2 linked regions of the Xenopus tropicalis genome follow. The protein of the gene in region 1 interacts with the protein of each later gene in a pairwise test. Links are inferred from orthologs where the notes say so. Each region holds a gene or a part of one and is shown on either strand. Other genes may lie near its edges. The genes, in order: fip1l1 and cpsf4.

Region 1 (8,346 bases):
TAAAAGAAGCATATATTTTTTTTTAAACTAGCTAAAATCCAAAACATGACTGCTGATTTCATCTTTTTCCAGTAAGACTGAGAAAATATATTTTCATTTAAAAAAAGTGCCATAGTTAACAACGATTTTCCTGCTCCACCCTGTCTAGTCTGTGGAGGGGATAGTCTTATAAGATTCAAGATAACTGTCCATATCTTGCATCCGCTGCTATGACAAACAAAAGTCTGAAGTGAGTTGTTCTGTTTTCATGTGTGTATACAGAATGTCAGGCTGCAGTAAGAAATAGCATGGTGTGAATTAATTATTGGTTATGTAAAGATTCTTTAAGTTTGGAAAATCACATTATTAATAGAAAATATTTATAAATAGAAACCCTAGTGATTTTATCAGTAACAGTAGTAGAACTTTAAAAATTTTTGACCACTAATCAGTGTTTTAGGAGGAATGGTTTAGCCTAGGCATCCAACAGAGTAGCATCTACTAGTATGCATAAATAAATAACATTTCCTTACAAGTTACAAATTAATTCTTCTGATTAATTCTGTCAGACAGAGATCAAAGCTGCATTGTTTGCATTGGTCTAGTCACCCATTGCAGCCAGTAGCAAACTTTGCACATTTTATTACATTACTACATGGGTTGTAGAAAAGGATTGTATTGGCACTCCTTAATAACGGTGTGGAACAGAAATCTGCCTAAATTCCGACTCAACTGCCACTTTTCCGTTTTTGGTGAAAGAAAGACAGCATAGAGACATTTTTGTGAATTTGTCTTTAAAACGTCATTGGGGGCTCATTAGCACAGCGTTTTTCAACCACTGTTCCGCGGCACACTAGTGTGCCGCGAGATGTTGCCTGGTGTGCCGTAGGCAGGGCACCAATGTACTAGGGGGGCACTGCTCTTGGCACCAATGTACTAGGGGGGCTCTGCTGCTGGGCACCAATGTACTAGGGGGGCACTGCTCTTGGCACCAATGTACTAGGGGGGCACTGCTGCTGGGCACCAATGTACTAGGGGGGCACTGCTGCTGGGCACAGAGTTAAATTTTTTAACATTTTCTAATGGTGGTGTGCCTCGTGATTTTTTTCATGAAACAAGTGTGCCTTTGCCCAAAAAAGGTTGAAAAACACTGCATTAGTATATTAATGGGGATAGCAAGGGTCAAGTTTCTGTCTAACCCTAAAACAAAAGGTGCAAAAAAGCTTTATTAACTTTTTATAAACAAGTAAAACATTGATTAAACAAAAAATTGTAATGTATACAATCTTGTATATAAAAAAAGTTTTTACCTTGCCATAACATATCTGTGCATCTATACAGAACTATCAAGATGCTTGACGGCATTGCCCCCCCACCTTTAGCTGTGTCATTTCAGTTTTCAGCAGCCATCTTGGTAATCAGCAAGAACCACATGTGCACTGGAACCCAAACTTGGATATTGGGGTTCTGTAAATTCAAGGTTTACTGGCCCAACAGGGCACTGGGGAAAAACTGTTGGGCCCCTTTTCATCTGACATGTTGGTGGGTGGGCCAGATTTTTGTTGACCAGTAATCAGTGTGTGGGGGGGCAGGGGGAGTAGAGAAGTAGTGCAGGGGGTGGGCCCTTGATTCACTTCTTCCCATGAAGAAGATATTTAGCCCCTTAAATCTTGTAACAAATGGAGTTACACAAACATTTCAAAACAAACACACAGCCCAGCTTGTCCTGAAAAACTTTAAGGAAATGCCTCTCGACTGAAATGTCTGGCAAATGAAATGCAAAATGTAGATGTGGGACTGGGTTTGATAGCACTGACGGATTTATTAAGAGTTAAAGACAAATTCATAATAAATATCACTAAAATATCATCTAAAAAACAAAATCTGAAAACTATCTGTTTAAAAGATAAATTCACAAAGGTAGAGATAGAGGTTTGTGAATAAGGCTGAAAACAAATCAATCTCCACTTTTATTTTGCGTCAATATCACCGCTTTTGTGAACTACCCCCTTTTTGTTTAACAGTTACTGATAAATTATGTTGGGTTCTTCTTGAAAATGCATAATAGGGAAAAGTTGGATTTTGTTAAAGTGCACAGATTAAGCAGAATTGGGAGCACAAATCTAGGGTGAGTTTGCAACTGCTTAGGCCTTGATTTATTCACAGGTACAGCAGGGAAGAACGGGCAATGCAGAAAAGGATACAGTCTTGCAGAGTGTGAAACCAGAGTTTACTTCTCCCACTTCATTATTCAAACCTGGTGTTCCTCCTCCAAGGTGAATATGATTCATTTATAGAGTGCAAATGCATTGTAGCAAAACTTGAAGATTGTGCGGATGAGAACTTTATAGATTTTGTGTGGAAATTATTTATTGACTAAAGGCTCTCTAACTAGCTAATAATCATAACATAGTGGTTTTAATTTTTGATTAGTAAGGGCTTGTTACAAAACTTCAGTTTTATTTTGATAAATTCTAATAGTCATTGGGCAAAAACTAGGAGGACTTGGCCCATAGTCATAAATGCCAACATTGCAAATTTTATGATGTTTTTTTCTGCCCACAGACCAAATGCCCAGATTTATTCAAATGGACTTTTTTCATCAATTGATTAAATTAACACATTGCAACTTTTATGGCCTTGAGTAGCTTGTAGATGACTCTCCCTTAGTGTGGTTGGATTAATTAATGAGAGATACTGTTAAGCAATGACAATTTATCACATCTGACTTCTGGATGTCCTTTATTAATTGTTTTACAGTCGAAAAACCTCAAGCGCAATTGATGTGATTGGTCAGACAACCACTATCACTCGTGTAGAGGGACGGCGGCGAGGTGCAAATGAAAGCAATATCCAGGTACAGTAAATTCCTAATTAACCAGTGACAGACCTGTTTTGTCTTTTCAAAACTGCCTTCATTGGGGGGAAAAGTACTTGCTAACAACTTGATACATATAAAGTATTAATATAAATAAAGACTACTTAGCCTGCGACAAATCTCCCTGTTAGCGGGCGACTAATCTCCCTGAAATGCCATCCCACCGCCGCGCATGCCATCCCACCGATGATTTACATTTTCGCTGGTGGGATGGCATTTTGGGGAGATTTGTCGCGGGCGACTAATCTCCCCGTGTGCCAAAACCCTTAAATGCTACAAATTTTCTGTTGCTGGAGACTGTAGACCATTGATCACGTGATGGTAGTAATAGTTTTCCCAACCAAAAAGGAAAGCGTTAACTTTATTCATGGGCTGGAGGAACCTCCATTATGGTGAAGGTCTGTGGGAGTAGAATAGAAATGATTCGTCATAAAATGCTATGATACATTCTGCTTTGAGTAAGCAGCCCAGCAGTATTTGCAGATTTTGATAAGAGTTGAACTGAAGAAGCTGCTCGGATGAGTAGTGAAACGTCTTCAATGATTACCAAACAAGTCCAGTTGCTTTAAATTTATTTGTACTAGATATACCATGACCTGGATGAATGAAAATCTTCATAAACATAAGAGTACCCAGTTAGTGACCTGATTGGAAGAAGGGTTGAATAGTTGGGGGGACATGGAAACAGAATATGCATCCATATATTGCATATATATGTTTGTAGAAGATGGTATAATGACTATAACTCTTCCATAAGTCTATGACTGAAATAGGTCTTATGTGTTTTTAGGACATCTAAAGGTTCAGTTTGGTTGATATGAGGGTCAGAAAACAGAGATATGGGAGGCTTGACTGTGGGTGCTACATAATTGCTTACTTGATACCCTGGAACTGTGCTCCTGCTAGTTGAAAACACTGGCCTGAGGTACCTTTTGGGCAATGGGTGCAGCTTCAAACTTCTTTGCATGGGGTTTGCATGTGTAGTAGAGTGAAAAGCTTGAAGTATTTGCAAAAATCCAGCTTTTTCACTTACTGCACATGCGCAGACCCAGGTCCACTGCGGAAAGTAGGAAATAGAATATTTGCAATATGGTGCACAAATAAAAGTACCACAGGTCAGTGCAGTTTTCAGCAAACAGGAGCACCAGTACAGGGTAAGTGGTTATATTCACAGTGACTTTAGCTTCTCTTTTGCTTTGATAAACATAAGATAGTACATTTTAAGTTTGCTGGATGTCTCAAATATCCTCAAGTTATTTCTGCCTTTTATGGTTTCAGGTAGTTTCAGAACAGTCTCCTTCTGAAGTGGATAATAATTTTATCAAGCCACCCCCACCATTTTTCCCTCCTGGAGCACCCCCCACACACCTACCACCACCTCCACTTTTTCCTCCACCACCAAATGTCAGTACTGCTCCACCTCTCATCCCACCTCCTGGTAAGTATCAGCAAAATTCTTGTTTCACCTTCAGTTTTCAATGCTTTTTATTTTATGTTGGAACAAATTGCCAGAATCAAGGAGTTTAACGTGCACTTTCTAGAATATCTGGTGCTTAGTGTGTTTCAAGTAAGAGTGCAGTGTGTTTTACCTTTTATGCAGGAAGCACTAGGTACTGAATATACTGGCCCAAATTGAGTGGGACAGTATGCACCCAGAGAAAAGAATTGCTAGAACAAGAGGTCATACCCTAAACTTTACACTTGGGAAACTGAGGAGTAGTGTAAAATAGTATGGAGCTATAAAAAAAAGTGCAGCAGTTTCCTGTGCCAAACCTGCATTACACGTACTCACAGCTGAACAAGTTGTAAAACTGAACAAGCATTACAGGAACAGAAAAAACATGAAACTAAAGTGTATATGTTTGCATTAAAAAATAATGTGCTGTTACCCCTGCACTGGTTAACAAAATACTTCATTGCTTCAGAAACTCTACTACAGTTTATATTAATAAGATGCTTTGTAACCATGGGGCAGGCATTCAAGCTGAACAGGGCAAAAAGGGTCATGTTTAAATAGCAGGTGACATAAGCTGTATAGAATAAAATGGGTTTAGTTCATACACAGGAAGATAACCTCTTTTAAGTAGCATTCATGACTGTAGACTGAAAACCATTCCATAAAATAGAGTATTTGTTGCCAAGAAATAATTCATATATATGCTGGATATAATATATATGCTGAAAGAAGAGTTAAAAACCTTAAATACAGAGAAGCTTTAAGATGCAGATACAGTAAACAGTGGCTATCTTGTCAAAACAGAAGTCATTAGTCTCACTCTGTTCTATGTTTTATCTGTAATATTTCTTCCTGTACTTATCATACAGCAATGTAAAACTGCTGTTTATTGTATTGATACAACCAGACACACAGCTAATCCCTAGCCAAGGAAAATATACACACATCTGGACCCTTTCTTCCCCCTCCCTTTTTTGTTTCTTGTTCCATTCATATCTTTCCTTCAGCACGTGTTTAGGATTTATACACTTGCATGTTCTTTGGCCAGTACCAAACTACGTTTTAGGGCAATGGCGGTAAAATAATATCCCAAAAATGCCTTGCCATTGCATAACATTAGGATTGCCACAAGTAAAACAAATCACTCATGTCACAATCCAGCTTAATTGCTGGAAAATGTGTCAGAAGTCAATTTCCCTTGAGTAAGCTGGACCACTGTGAGTAATATGTTTTACTTGCATAGATTTTAATATTATGCAATGGCAAGGCATTTTTTAGATTTGTTGCCCTTAGTAGCGCAGATTTGCTGCATTGGTTTGAATGAGACAATAAAACATGACTAGGCTCGGGTCTGAATACAAAGGTAATGAATAAAAAGTATCAATAAAATGTTTGTCTCACAGAGCAATAATTGTATGGCTGCTTTGGTCAGTGACCCCCCTTTGAATTATTTTCCTCCCATTGCCTGCTGCTTTCCATTTTATAACATCAGCTAAATAAAAATTCTGACAATAGGGCCTTTTTAGCAGGTTGTGTCAGGTTGGCCCATACAACACTCAGGTGGGTTTAATCTGGCGCAACATGTTTCTATAGGCATTGCTATACCCATAGCCCACCCAAAGCCCTATCTCTTGCTGCAACCTTTCCTCCTACATCCTCCTGTTGGCATTCTTTTATACACTCATGCTCTTTCTGGCCCACCCCCTTCAGCGACATCTGAGATGGGCTGGTCAGACGCTGGTATATAATTGATGATGCAGGTCGTACAAGTTAGGTCTGGGGGGGTTAGGGTGTGCTACACATCACTACCGCTTGCTAAGCTCGGAGGCTTTGCGAGGGGATTAGGAAATGAACAGTGCTGAACCTGACAGTTTCCTTTAAATCTTGTAAGTCCCTATTGTCACAGTACTTATTTTGCAATAGGGACTTGTTGATGACAACATCCACTTTAAGGCAGTACTGTGTGCCTAGCATGAGGCATGTGAATACCTTCTGTTTTCAAAAAGCTGTTATGACAATGTCCAGTGACTGGTGTTAGTTTTTAAACCCAGATGTAGTTCTTTGTGGGTATTGCACTGGGAGTGATATGCATCCTTAGGCTTGTTTGAAACACCAACTGTATTTGATGATGACCAGGGAATGTGAATAATTCACCTTCATTTAAAGATAAATATATCTCAACAGATATCAAAATTGCCTGGATGTTGGAAGAAAATTGTTTTTAATATGCCTTATATTTTGTGTAATTAAGCAGATAAACTGCTTATGCTGCCTCTGTGCATTAACTCTTAATTTATGTCCTAATGGGGATGATATCTGTGATTTAGCTGGAAATGATAAAGCAGTAGTTCTCCTGACTTTTTCTTTGTAAGTTTGGAACTAATGACACAAATATGAAGGATGGAGACCAGTACATTATCTAGAAAGAACTTTGCACCCCTTCTTGTTAGGCTAGCAGGTTTCTGGCGATCTTTCTCCCCATAAATCAGTGCTCGCTGTACATCTGCAGCAAACCATGCAAGGCTGTGGCTTTGGCTCCCAATGGTCCTTGTTTTATTTGCACTCTAGCCAACTCTTTATCTTCAAAGCTGCTACAAAAATAGCATTGTGCCATACCTCCTCATTTAACATAGGGGAGAAAAGGCCCAGTTGTTACCTCACATTAACTAGGAGACATGGCCAAAAATCCAGAATTGCAAATATAAAACATCCTGTGGAAGTTCTTTTGAAAACAGAAGATGCTTTGAAGTTGCCTTTTTAGGCTTCAGTCTTCCTTGTGAAGCTCATTTGCAAGAAAAAACTGAACTTGCATTATATCAGGAAAGTGCCCTGTAGAGTCCGGTTAACACCTTGGCTGCTGAATGGGGAGTGCAACAGAAAGCTGCTCTGTGATTGGCTATCCAATAACTTTGTTTTTATGGAGTTCTGTGTCATTTCAAGAATTCATTTTCGTTTTTGTACAGAGCAATATGTTCAGTTTATTTTCATTGTTTCAAATGGATTAGAGGTAACATATTTTAGATACAGGCCTACAAAGGCCTGTTGAACGAGAACAGCATCTACGTGCCGACTCAGTTCTTGTTCAATGGGATTTCAAGTCAAATCATGCTGATATGATATAGCCAGATATTGGTTGGACGTGCCCATCAGACAGCTATATACAATGGCCAATAAGCAGTTGACTTGCTCCAGAGAAACAGAGTCAGGCCATGTATGGCCACCATAAGTGGTCATACATAAATGATCTATAAATGTAATTTGCTTATGTGACATCATAGGAGTCCACCTTTTCTCATGGAGCCTCTACAACGTAGGGTAATGCAACTCATATTTTCTACATGATTTTTATGGCATATAACCATGTTAAAACACGTGGCATCTATATGGTATTGCTACCACTAAAATTACCTTTTTAATGTTAAGTTACTATGCTTTACTTTCATAGTAGAAAGACAGTTTGCGGCATAGTCAAGAGATTGTCCTTACATAATAGAAACTTAAACTCTTTTCCTACCACTGGTACACACTCACTCTAGAGGCAATTTACTGGAAGCCTGTGAACCACTCTCCCTGTTTTTAGAACATGGCAAAAAATCGGAGGGAAGAGGGAGGACCAGGTGAACACCGAATATACTCCCTACAGTGTGTGGTGGAAACAGAAATAGTTATGGTGGCAATGCTAAATACTTTCACCCAGTGCCTCCCCATTTTTCAGTTTCCATTTATTTGTCTAGTACAGTGATCCCCAAACAGTGACTCTTGAGCAACATGCTGCTCACCTCCCCGTTTGATATGGCCCCCAGTCCCCTCAAAGTAGGTGCCCATTTTTAATTTTCTGGCTTGGAGGCAAGTTTTGGACAAAGTTTTACTCCTAGCAGAGCCTCCTTCAGGCTAGCAGTCCACATTGGGCTACCAAATAGCCAATCACAGCCCTTATTTAGCACCCCCAAAGAACTTTTTTCAGGCTTAGGTGGCTCACCAACACTTTTTAAATATGTGTGGCTCGCAAGTAAAAAAATGTTTTTGGGATTTC
Region 2 (8,346 bases), on another chromosome or scaffold:
TTTGAACTACCATTGGAGTTGTGTCGTTCTTGTCCCCGTATACGCCTTTGTCCTGGTAGGAGGGCTCCCACGGATTACTAAATCTAAGATCGGCGGTCAGGAACCTTACAAACGCGATGGCCCGATATCTAAGACTTTTGTGATATTGGTCATCTCGTCAATCCACCATACATTGGTGCGTGTATGGCCAGCTTAAGACAATGGGCATGTCATCTTTTTTTTTGTGGTCTTTGAATTATTGTGGTGCCAGGGTCAGCAACAACCAGCAGCCCAACAGAAAATTTATTTTGTTGTTAGTTTTTTATATTTATTGCTTATTCTATGGAGAGTAGTAGACCTAAACCTCAGAAATAAAAAAAGAAAACCAAGTGTATGTAAGGACAATGGCACATTTTAATAGCAGAGCATTTGAATTTCTTAAAGCATGTCTGTAAAACGCATAAAATGCAGCAGCACCATTACCCTAATGTGAATATTTGATTTTATTGCAGTAGTAGTGGTAACAGTTTTTTTTAATTTTATTTTAAAATATAGTAATACCCCTGTAAATTTACAGATTTGTAATGACAATAAATAGGTATATGCAGTCTGTATTCATGTTATAGTTACTGGTTAACAAGACAAATTTCTATAAACACATATTGGTAGTAATGAGGCTAAGGGCTTATTTATTTTGCACTCTTTTTTAATAACTAAAAATGTCTTTTGCAGAGTCTGGGGCTGCTGTTTGTGAGTTTTTTCTGAAATCGGCCTGTGGAAAAGGTAAATCACTGGAAATGAACATAACTCCATAGTATTTATGCTGTAAATCGAGACATGGGTGTGATTTACTAACATAGGGGAGAAATTACATTTGTGTCATCACCCATAGCAACCAATCAAAATTATTTGCGGATTTATTGCTGTTGGCAGCTTAATGCTTAGGGCCTCTCCATGGGGAGACTAGTCGCCTGCTACCACGGCAACTAATCTACCAGAAATACTTAGCAAGTATTAGAGAGACTTAGCAATGTTTATGCCTTCCCACTGGCAATAACGTGAATAGCCAGTGGGAAGGCATACGCATCACTAAGTCCCCCGAAAGTTTCCTCACAAAGGAAACTTTGGATGACTTAGCGATGTGTATGTGCGGAAAGGCATTTTGGGGAGATTAGTCCCCTGCGGCAGCAGAGTTTTACCACGGGTGACTAATCACCACAGGACATCAGTCTTATATTTGAAAAATACAAAAAGTCGACCCACACATCACTACTGTGCTGCTGTTTTACTAGTATTTCCAAACGCTCTTTCCGAACTTCTTAATTGCACATGCACAAAATAGTGAAGATTTTTACTGTACTGTGCAAGTTCAGCTAAGCATAAGGGGAGCCTTTTAACATACTAGCAAGACTTTGCAATGCAGTGTTAGATAGCTTCTGAGACCCATGCATTGTTTACAAACAGGAGCACCGGGCTGAGGAAGAGAGTTAGAAATGTAAAGGAGAATGAAAACCTACTGACAATCCTAGGACCCCTCAACAACAGAGATAGGTGCCATTATAGGACTGCTCTTTTATTTGTTTATACAATTTGTTAAAGAGCCCCAAACAACACAGAAATCTGTAATATACCTATCATTGTAATCTGTTCCTTCAAAAACCATGAATAAATACAATTTTTATGTGCTGAAATCTATCCGCAAAATAGTTCTTCTCTTTCTGCATCATTTGAAATCCTTGCAGGAGGGACTAAAACATTGATTATACAAATTCTCCACAGCTTACAGACATCAAGCAGGAACTACATAACCCACAATTCATTGCACTATAATGTTTCTTTCCTTATTGACATGATGTCTGCAAGGAATTTTGGGATTTGGAGGATGCAGGCTGAGGCAGTAGACTACTGTTATATTTTATTTGAATCTCAAAGTAGTGATCCAGATAAGGAGGAGAACAGGGGCTAGGCTTAGAACAGTTTAAAACCATATTATTACATTAAAAATCATGAAAAGGCTGCATATCTTTTAATTGATTTATATTGCAAAATTGCTTACACTTTTTGAAAAGTACATCATTTAAGTTGTGTTTGGGTGGAGTTCCCCTTTAAATTATTGTCCACAGACACTTAGCATGAAGTACAGCACAGGGGTGTATTTATTAACATTGGAGATAAACATCACTGGTGATGTTGCCCATACCAAGCTGATCTTTGCTTTTGCTTTCTAACTTGTAGGTGTTTGTCTCCAGTGATAATAAATAATCCCCCAAAATGTTGTTCTTTTGGATGCCCTACAATAGATTGCAAAATATATGCTATTATAAAGAATTAAAGAAATATAATATACAAAATCACTTTATCTCTCTTTATTTCTTTTATATTAGGGATGCACCATTTCCAGAGTTCGATCCTTGGACAAATAAAAGCATTATTTTAAATTGCAAATTAGGGTCCCAGTTTTTGTGGGTATTCTGCCAGTTTTTGAAAATTATGGATTCGGTGCATCACCAATGTACATAGGTAGAGAGAGAATAATATATTTCACTTTTTTAAACTATCTGTCTTATCTGTGCAGGCGGAATGTGTCCGTTTAGACATATCAGTGGGGAGAAGACAGTGGTCTGTAAACATTGGTTACGAGGCCTTTGCAAGAAGGGAGACCAGTGTGAATTTTTGCACGAGTATGATATGACTAAAATGCCAGAGTGCTACTTCTACTCCAAGTTTGGTAAGTGATTGTATTATTTAATAGGTTTTATTGGCATTAAAGTCTATTTTTAAAGGTTATACCTGTGGTGGTCAGTACCTCACTCTTTTTTATATTAAAAAGTTAATGTTTAATTTATTTCTTTTTGTTCTTTTTTCTTCCATAACCAGTGGTGCATGTATTGGCTTATATTATTAACCCTTTACACAAAGCTACTGGGCAGTGTGGTGTATGTTAGGGGATATGGCCAGCACAATCCAGAAAATCTGAACGATTCTTAACAAGACCCCTTTCTAAATTTTTTTTAAGGATTAGTGCACCCACTTTTTCATAAATTCAATGATCAGAGCTTGTGCTAAATATATATATTTGAAGTAAGAATTATGAATGCTTTTTGATTGTTTTCAACCAGATAGCTAGTTTGATAATTACAGCATATTAGTTGAATTATTTTTTGTTTGTATTTGTTAGGTGAGTGCAGTAACAAAGAGTGCCCATTTTTGCATATTGACCCGGAATCAAAGATAAAAGACTGCCCATGGTATGACAGGGGCTTCTGTAAGCACGGTAAGATTATAGGACCTTATAAAATCTTTGCCATTTTATATTGTACAAAGGAATGTCAGTGGCCCTTAATTTATATTATGTCTTTTCAGGGCCCCTCTGTAGGCACCGGCATACTCGAAGAGTAATTTGTGTCAATTACTTGGTGGGATTCTGTATCGAAGGCCCTAACTGTAAATTCATGCAGTGAGTACATTTATTTTCCATCTTCTTCACATGTACTCATTTAGTGACTTTCCAGACATGTGGTATTCATACCTGCTGAATTTGTGTTCTTCCCAAATAACATTTTATAGATTATATTTAGAAAATGTTTGTGTCAAATAGTGAAGGGTAGGGAATTAACAGAATTTGCACAGGTCTGTGCACTCCAAAACAAAGCACAGATATCTGTGTCTGCCCCATAAAATACATTGCTGCCTGTGGTCAGCAGTTCTGTATTTGTGAGGGAGGGACTGGGATAAGAGCTTTTTATGATATCCCCTAGAAAAAAAAAAAGCTCAAATGATTTATAGATAAACTTTTAGTATTGCCTTACTATGTTGTGTTTCCATAGGAGTAAACTGTCAGCAATCTAACTCCACTGCTTTTTTGTATTTGGCCCCAAAACTTTGTATAGGAAAAATGGGGACATACCAGAAGTGTTAGTGTCCCTTTAATGGACAAAGTTATATATGATGAAGACAACCATAGATTTGCTAGTGTTGCCTGAACACTAGCAAGTGATTGTTAAAGCTTATTAATGAGTGTCTTCATTATAATACCCCTTTAAAAAGAGATTATGCTGGAAATATTATCAAACTTTTATGGGGGTTATGAGGGAATTAGACTTACTGTTTTCTTAATATAATTCTGCAGTCCACGTTTTGAATTACCTATGGGAACCACAGAACAGCCGCCTCTACCCCAGCAAACACAGACTCAACAGAAGGTATTTGTCTATTTACACTTTGCAAACTTACACTATGCAAAATTATGGTTTAAGAGTTCTTACAGGTTTATTTTTTATCTCCAGCAAAATAATAACCAGGTGTTACAAAGGTCATCCTCACTCATTCAGCTAACAAGCCAAAACTCTCCTGTCAGCCAACAACGTTCCCCACAGACAATCGGTGTCATGCAGTCACAAAGTGGCAACCAGGGGAACCGGGGACCTAGGCCACTGGACCAAGTTACCTGCTATAAGGTCAGAATTTATCTAATGTATGATCTTTATCTATGATCTTTAAAATAATAGAATTGTTTTTTTTAAAGAATCATTCTGCCTTTCAAAGCATTTGCTCTGTTGAAAAGTTCACCATTGAAAGCTTCTGAAATCTAAGCCCAGATAAATGATTTGTGTTAACACAGGGGGTAAGCCTGAGATATGCAGGGGCATTGCACTTGCTTTTTTTTTTAAAGCACAGCTCTAATCACTGATGCAGTGATCACATGACTAGTGATAAGTGAATCTGTCCCGTTTCGCAGAAAAAATTGCGAATTTTTGAAAAGATTCACAAAAGAGAGGAAATTCTTTGAATTTTCTTGTGGGAAAGTGGGCATCCAACCATTTTAGAGGCTGTTATACATTAATTGAATGTCTATAACTTCGGCAAAGAGAACTAACCCCTAAAAACAAATATGAGCAGAAATGTCATACTTGCATCTATAATTAGCACATAAAAATATATAGCTAAGAAGTAAAATGCACATAAATTTAAAAAATTCAATTGGAGCAGTAGCTAAAACAGTGGCAGGTACTATATTTATAGATGGTTGTACTAACAGGGCAAGAAGGGAAACTACTAATATAAAGAAAAGAGCACCTCAAATAATATGCATTTATACAAATACATAAAAATATTAAAATCAGTACAATAAAACCTTCAAGAGACTAAATCTGATACATTGTCTAGGTAAAGACCATTTATCTGAATTGCCAGACAGTCACATATGAGATATAATAGTGTATGTGACTTTCCAGATTCTATACCTGTAGTGAAATACTACAGGTATAGAATCTATTATCAGCAATGCTTGGGACCTGGGGTTTTCTGATAAGGGATCTTTCTGTAATTTGAATTACCTTACCTTAAAGGACAAGGCAACGCAAAATGTAATTTTTTGCCTAATAAAACAAACCAAAATTCTAAGCACCTTTGCAATATACATTTATTACATGTTTGTAATGGTTTTTGAGTTATTTGTATTTATAATTGCTATTAGAAGCAGTGTTTGCCTGTCCTTTTCTATTCTCTGCTCTGGTGGCTCTGACTGTTGAAACATTGTAACACAAGCCAGCAGACTGACAGACCTGACTTGCTGGAGAAGCAAGACCTTTGCAACATTGTTTAAACTGTAACAACCAGAAGTTCAGCAAATGCAGCTTTCAATAGCAATTATATTTACAAATAACATTTTTAAAGCGCTACAAATTTTTAATTATTTCATATTGGAAAGTTGCTTAGAATTATTATGGTTTCTTTCATTATGCAAAAAATTATTTTTGGGGTTGACATGCCCTTTAAGCCTTCTAAAAATCATGTAAACATTAAATAAACATAGTAGGTTTGTTTAGCCAATAATATTGGCTAAACAATAATAATAATAATAATAATAATATTGGCTTAGTTGCCATCCTGTAATTCAGGATATTGGATTTTAGGATAAGGGGTCCCATACCTGTAGAACATACACATTTGCTGTCCAAAGAAATAATTGCTGATAATTTGTACATAAACGGGACCTGTTATCCAGAATTCTTGTGACCAGATAAGGGGTCTTTCTGTAATTTGGATCTCCACACCTTAAATCTACTAAAAATGTATTTAAACATTAAATAAACCCAATAGGATTATTTTGCCACCAATATGAATTAATTATATCTTCGTTAAGATCAAGTACAAGGTACTGTTTTATAATTACAGAGAATTAGATTTAAATGGAGTCTATGAGAGATGGCCTTCCTGTAATTTGTAGCTTTCTGGATAAAGGGTTTCCGGATAACTAATCCCATACCTATACTTGTTGATCCCCAACCTTTTTTACCCGTGAGCCACATTCAAATGTAAAAAGAGTTGGGGAGCAACACAAGCATAAGACATGTTCCTGGGATTCCAAATAAAAATTGTTATTGGATGTTTGGTAGCCCCTATATGAACTGGAAGCCTACAGGGTGTTCTGTTTGTCAGTACATCTGTTTTTATGCAACTAAAACTTGCCTCCAAGCCAATAATTCAAAAATAAGCACCTGCTTTAAAGCCACTGGGAGCAACATCCAAGGGGTTTCGGAGCAACATGTTGCTCAGGAGCCACTGGTTGGGGATAACTGGGTTACACCCTAAGAAAAAAATTGGTACAAAGCTCAGAGTGCCACTGCACTTAATCTATATTCAAGTAGTTAATTTTGGTATTAAATGTTTCTTTTTCTTTCTTATTGCAGTGTGGTGAGAAAGGACATTATGCCAACAGATGTACAAAAGGTCACTTGGCTTTCTTGAGTGGGCAGTGACAAGTGGTTTGGGGTATGGACATAATTCTTGTAAGGACGCAGTGGACAGACGTTTCCTTTTTAATTTTGACATCAAGATGCTGGAGACTTTTCCTTGTTCTTAAGTAAATATTGGGATATTTTCTGCTATTTACTCTGAGCAGTTTATTGGAATCTTCTCCTGCCAAGAACTGTTTGGCAAAGTGAAAGTTTTTGCCAGTAACTATTTTTTTAAATAAAAAAATGTAAATGTATTTTTATTTCTTTTTATTTCTTTAATATAACTTTTGTACAGATTAGATCAAATGCCAACAGTTCTCTTGAACTTAACATTGTTAATAAAATCTATTTTAGTGATGACTGGAAACTGATTACTGTATCTTAATAGACTTCTAATGAACTAACCAGTGTTACCTATTATTTTAGAAAAAAATGGGTCAAGTTTGATTGAAAACAAAATAGTCATATGAAAAAGTTTGGGAACCCCTCTCAGTCTGCATAATAATTTACGCCACTTTCAACAAAAACGGTAACAGTGGCATGTCTTCATTTCCCAGGAACATCTGAGTACTGGGATGCTTTCTGAACAAAGATTTTTAGTGAAGCAGTATTAAGTTGTATGAAGTTAAATCAAATGTGAAAAACTGGCTGTGCAAAAATTTGGTACCCTTGTAATTTTGCTAATCAAAGGCTATAGGAGGTGTGTAGAGGCTGTTACATTTGCAAAAGGAGGCTCAACTAAGTATTGATGTAATATCTTTGTTAGGGTACCCAAATTTATGCACCTGTCTAATTTTGTTAAGATGCATATTTTCTGTTAATCCAATAAACTTAATGTCACTGCTGAAATACTACTGTTTTCATAAGGCATGTTATATATTAAAAGGAAGTTGCTACTTTAAAAGCTCAGCCAATGATAAACAAAACTCCAAAGAGAAAGAGAGGTTCCCAAACTTTTTCATAAGACTGTACCTTTATTACCCCATTATGTTAGCAGACATGCTCCTTCTGACTCCATATATACACTACATTCTATGGATAATAGGCTCAGAGTGCCACAGAATGTAGATTCGATGTTCTCCAGCACTTCTTGGTGTAAATATGAGCCACTCCTTTATTCCTTTGCCCCAAGCAAAAAGTGGAAGGGAACAGGGCAAAGTAACTAAGGGGCTCCTAGCTAGTAGCAGACACATGGAAACAATATGCCAGCACTGGACTGGAAATCTGTAGGTTCTGGTAGCAGCCATTGGGGCTGCTGCAAGGTGCCATAGACAACCACTGGGCCTGTGCAGTTCTGTTTGGGCATCTCTGTACAGTGCCAGGGCCTTTTTGAATCTCAGTCCAGACCTGTCTCCAGGGTTGAAGCCAGTGCGGTGCTCACCATTATTGCAGCTGTCAATTGACTATGGCCACACTCACCACATGCTTACATAAATACCAGTGGAGACAGATTGTGTTGACCACTACAGCTATCAGTGGAAACCAGCAGACAAAAGGTCTGTTGTCATTGCTCTGACTGCCCTATTGCACAAGGAACACAACATTTAATAACATTAGGTGAGATGAAAAGCAGACAGGCACTTTCTGCTTGCACATCATTGTTTTCCTCTGTCAGAGGTACAAATTG

What was found.
Region 2: the proteins of fip1l1 (region 1) and cpsf4 interact in binary tests that used the Homo sapiens proteins (3 or more experiments, as listed by UniProt). The two-hybrid records come from large-scale screens. The link is inferred for Xenopus tropicalis from reciprocal best matches to the Homo sapiens genes FIP1L1 and CPSF4.

Annotation. Positions count from the first base shown.
Region 1 is NC_030677.2:39,669,552-39,677,897, forward strand, and holds part of fip1l1 (pre-mRNA 3'-end-processing factor FIP1), read left to right. Parts: intron 1-2,145; coding exon 2,146-2,255; intron 2,256-2,739; coding exon 2,740-2,836; intron 2,837-4,135; coding exon 4,136-4,295; intron 4,296-8,346.
Region 2 is NC_030685.2:47,252,825-47,261,170, reverse strand, and holds the end of cpsf4 (cleavage and polyadenylation specificity factor subunit 4), read left to right. Parts: intron 1-711; coding exon 712-762; intron 763-2,554; coding exon 2,555-2,707; intron 2,708-3,157; coding exon 3,158-3,253; intron 3,254-3,312; coding exon of another isoform or gene 3,313-3,342; coding exon 3,343-3,436; intron 3,437-4,108; coding exon 4,109-4,181; intron 4,182-4,265; coding exon 4,266-4,436; intron 4,437-6,671; coding exon 6,672-6,740; 3' UTR 6,741-7,086; downstream 7,087-8,346. UniProt on the Homo sapiens protein: Component of the cleavage and polyadenylation specificity factor (CPSF) complex that play a key role in pre-mRNA 3'-end formation, recognizing the AAUAAA signal sequence and interacting with poly(A) polymerase and other factors to bring about cleavage and poly(A) addition.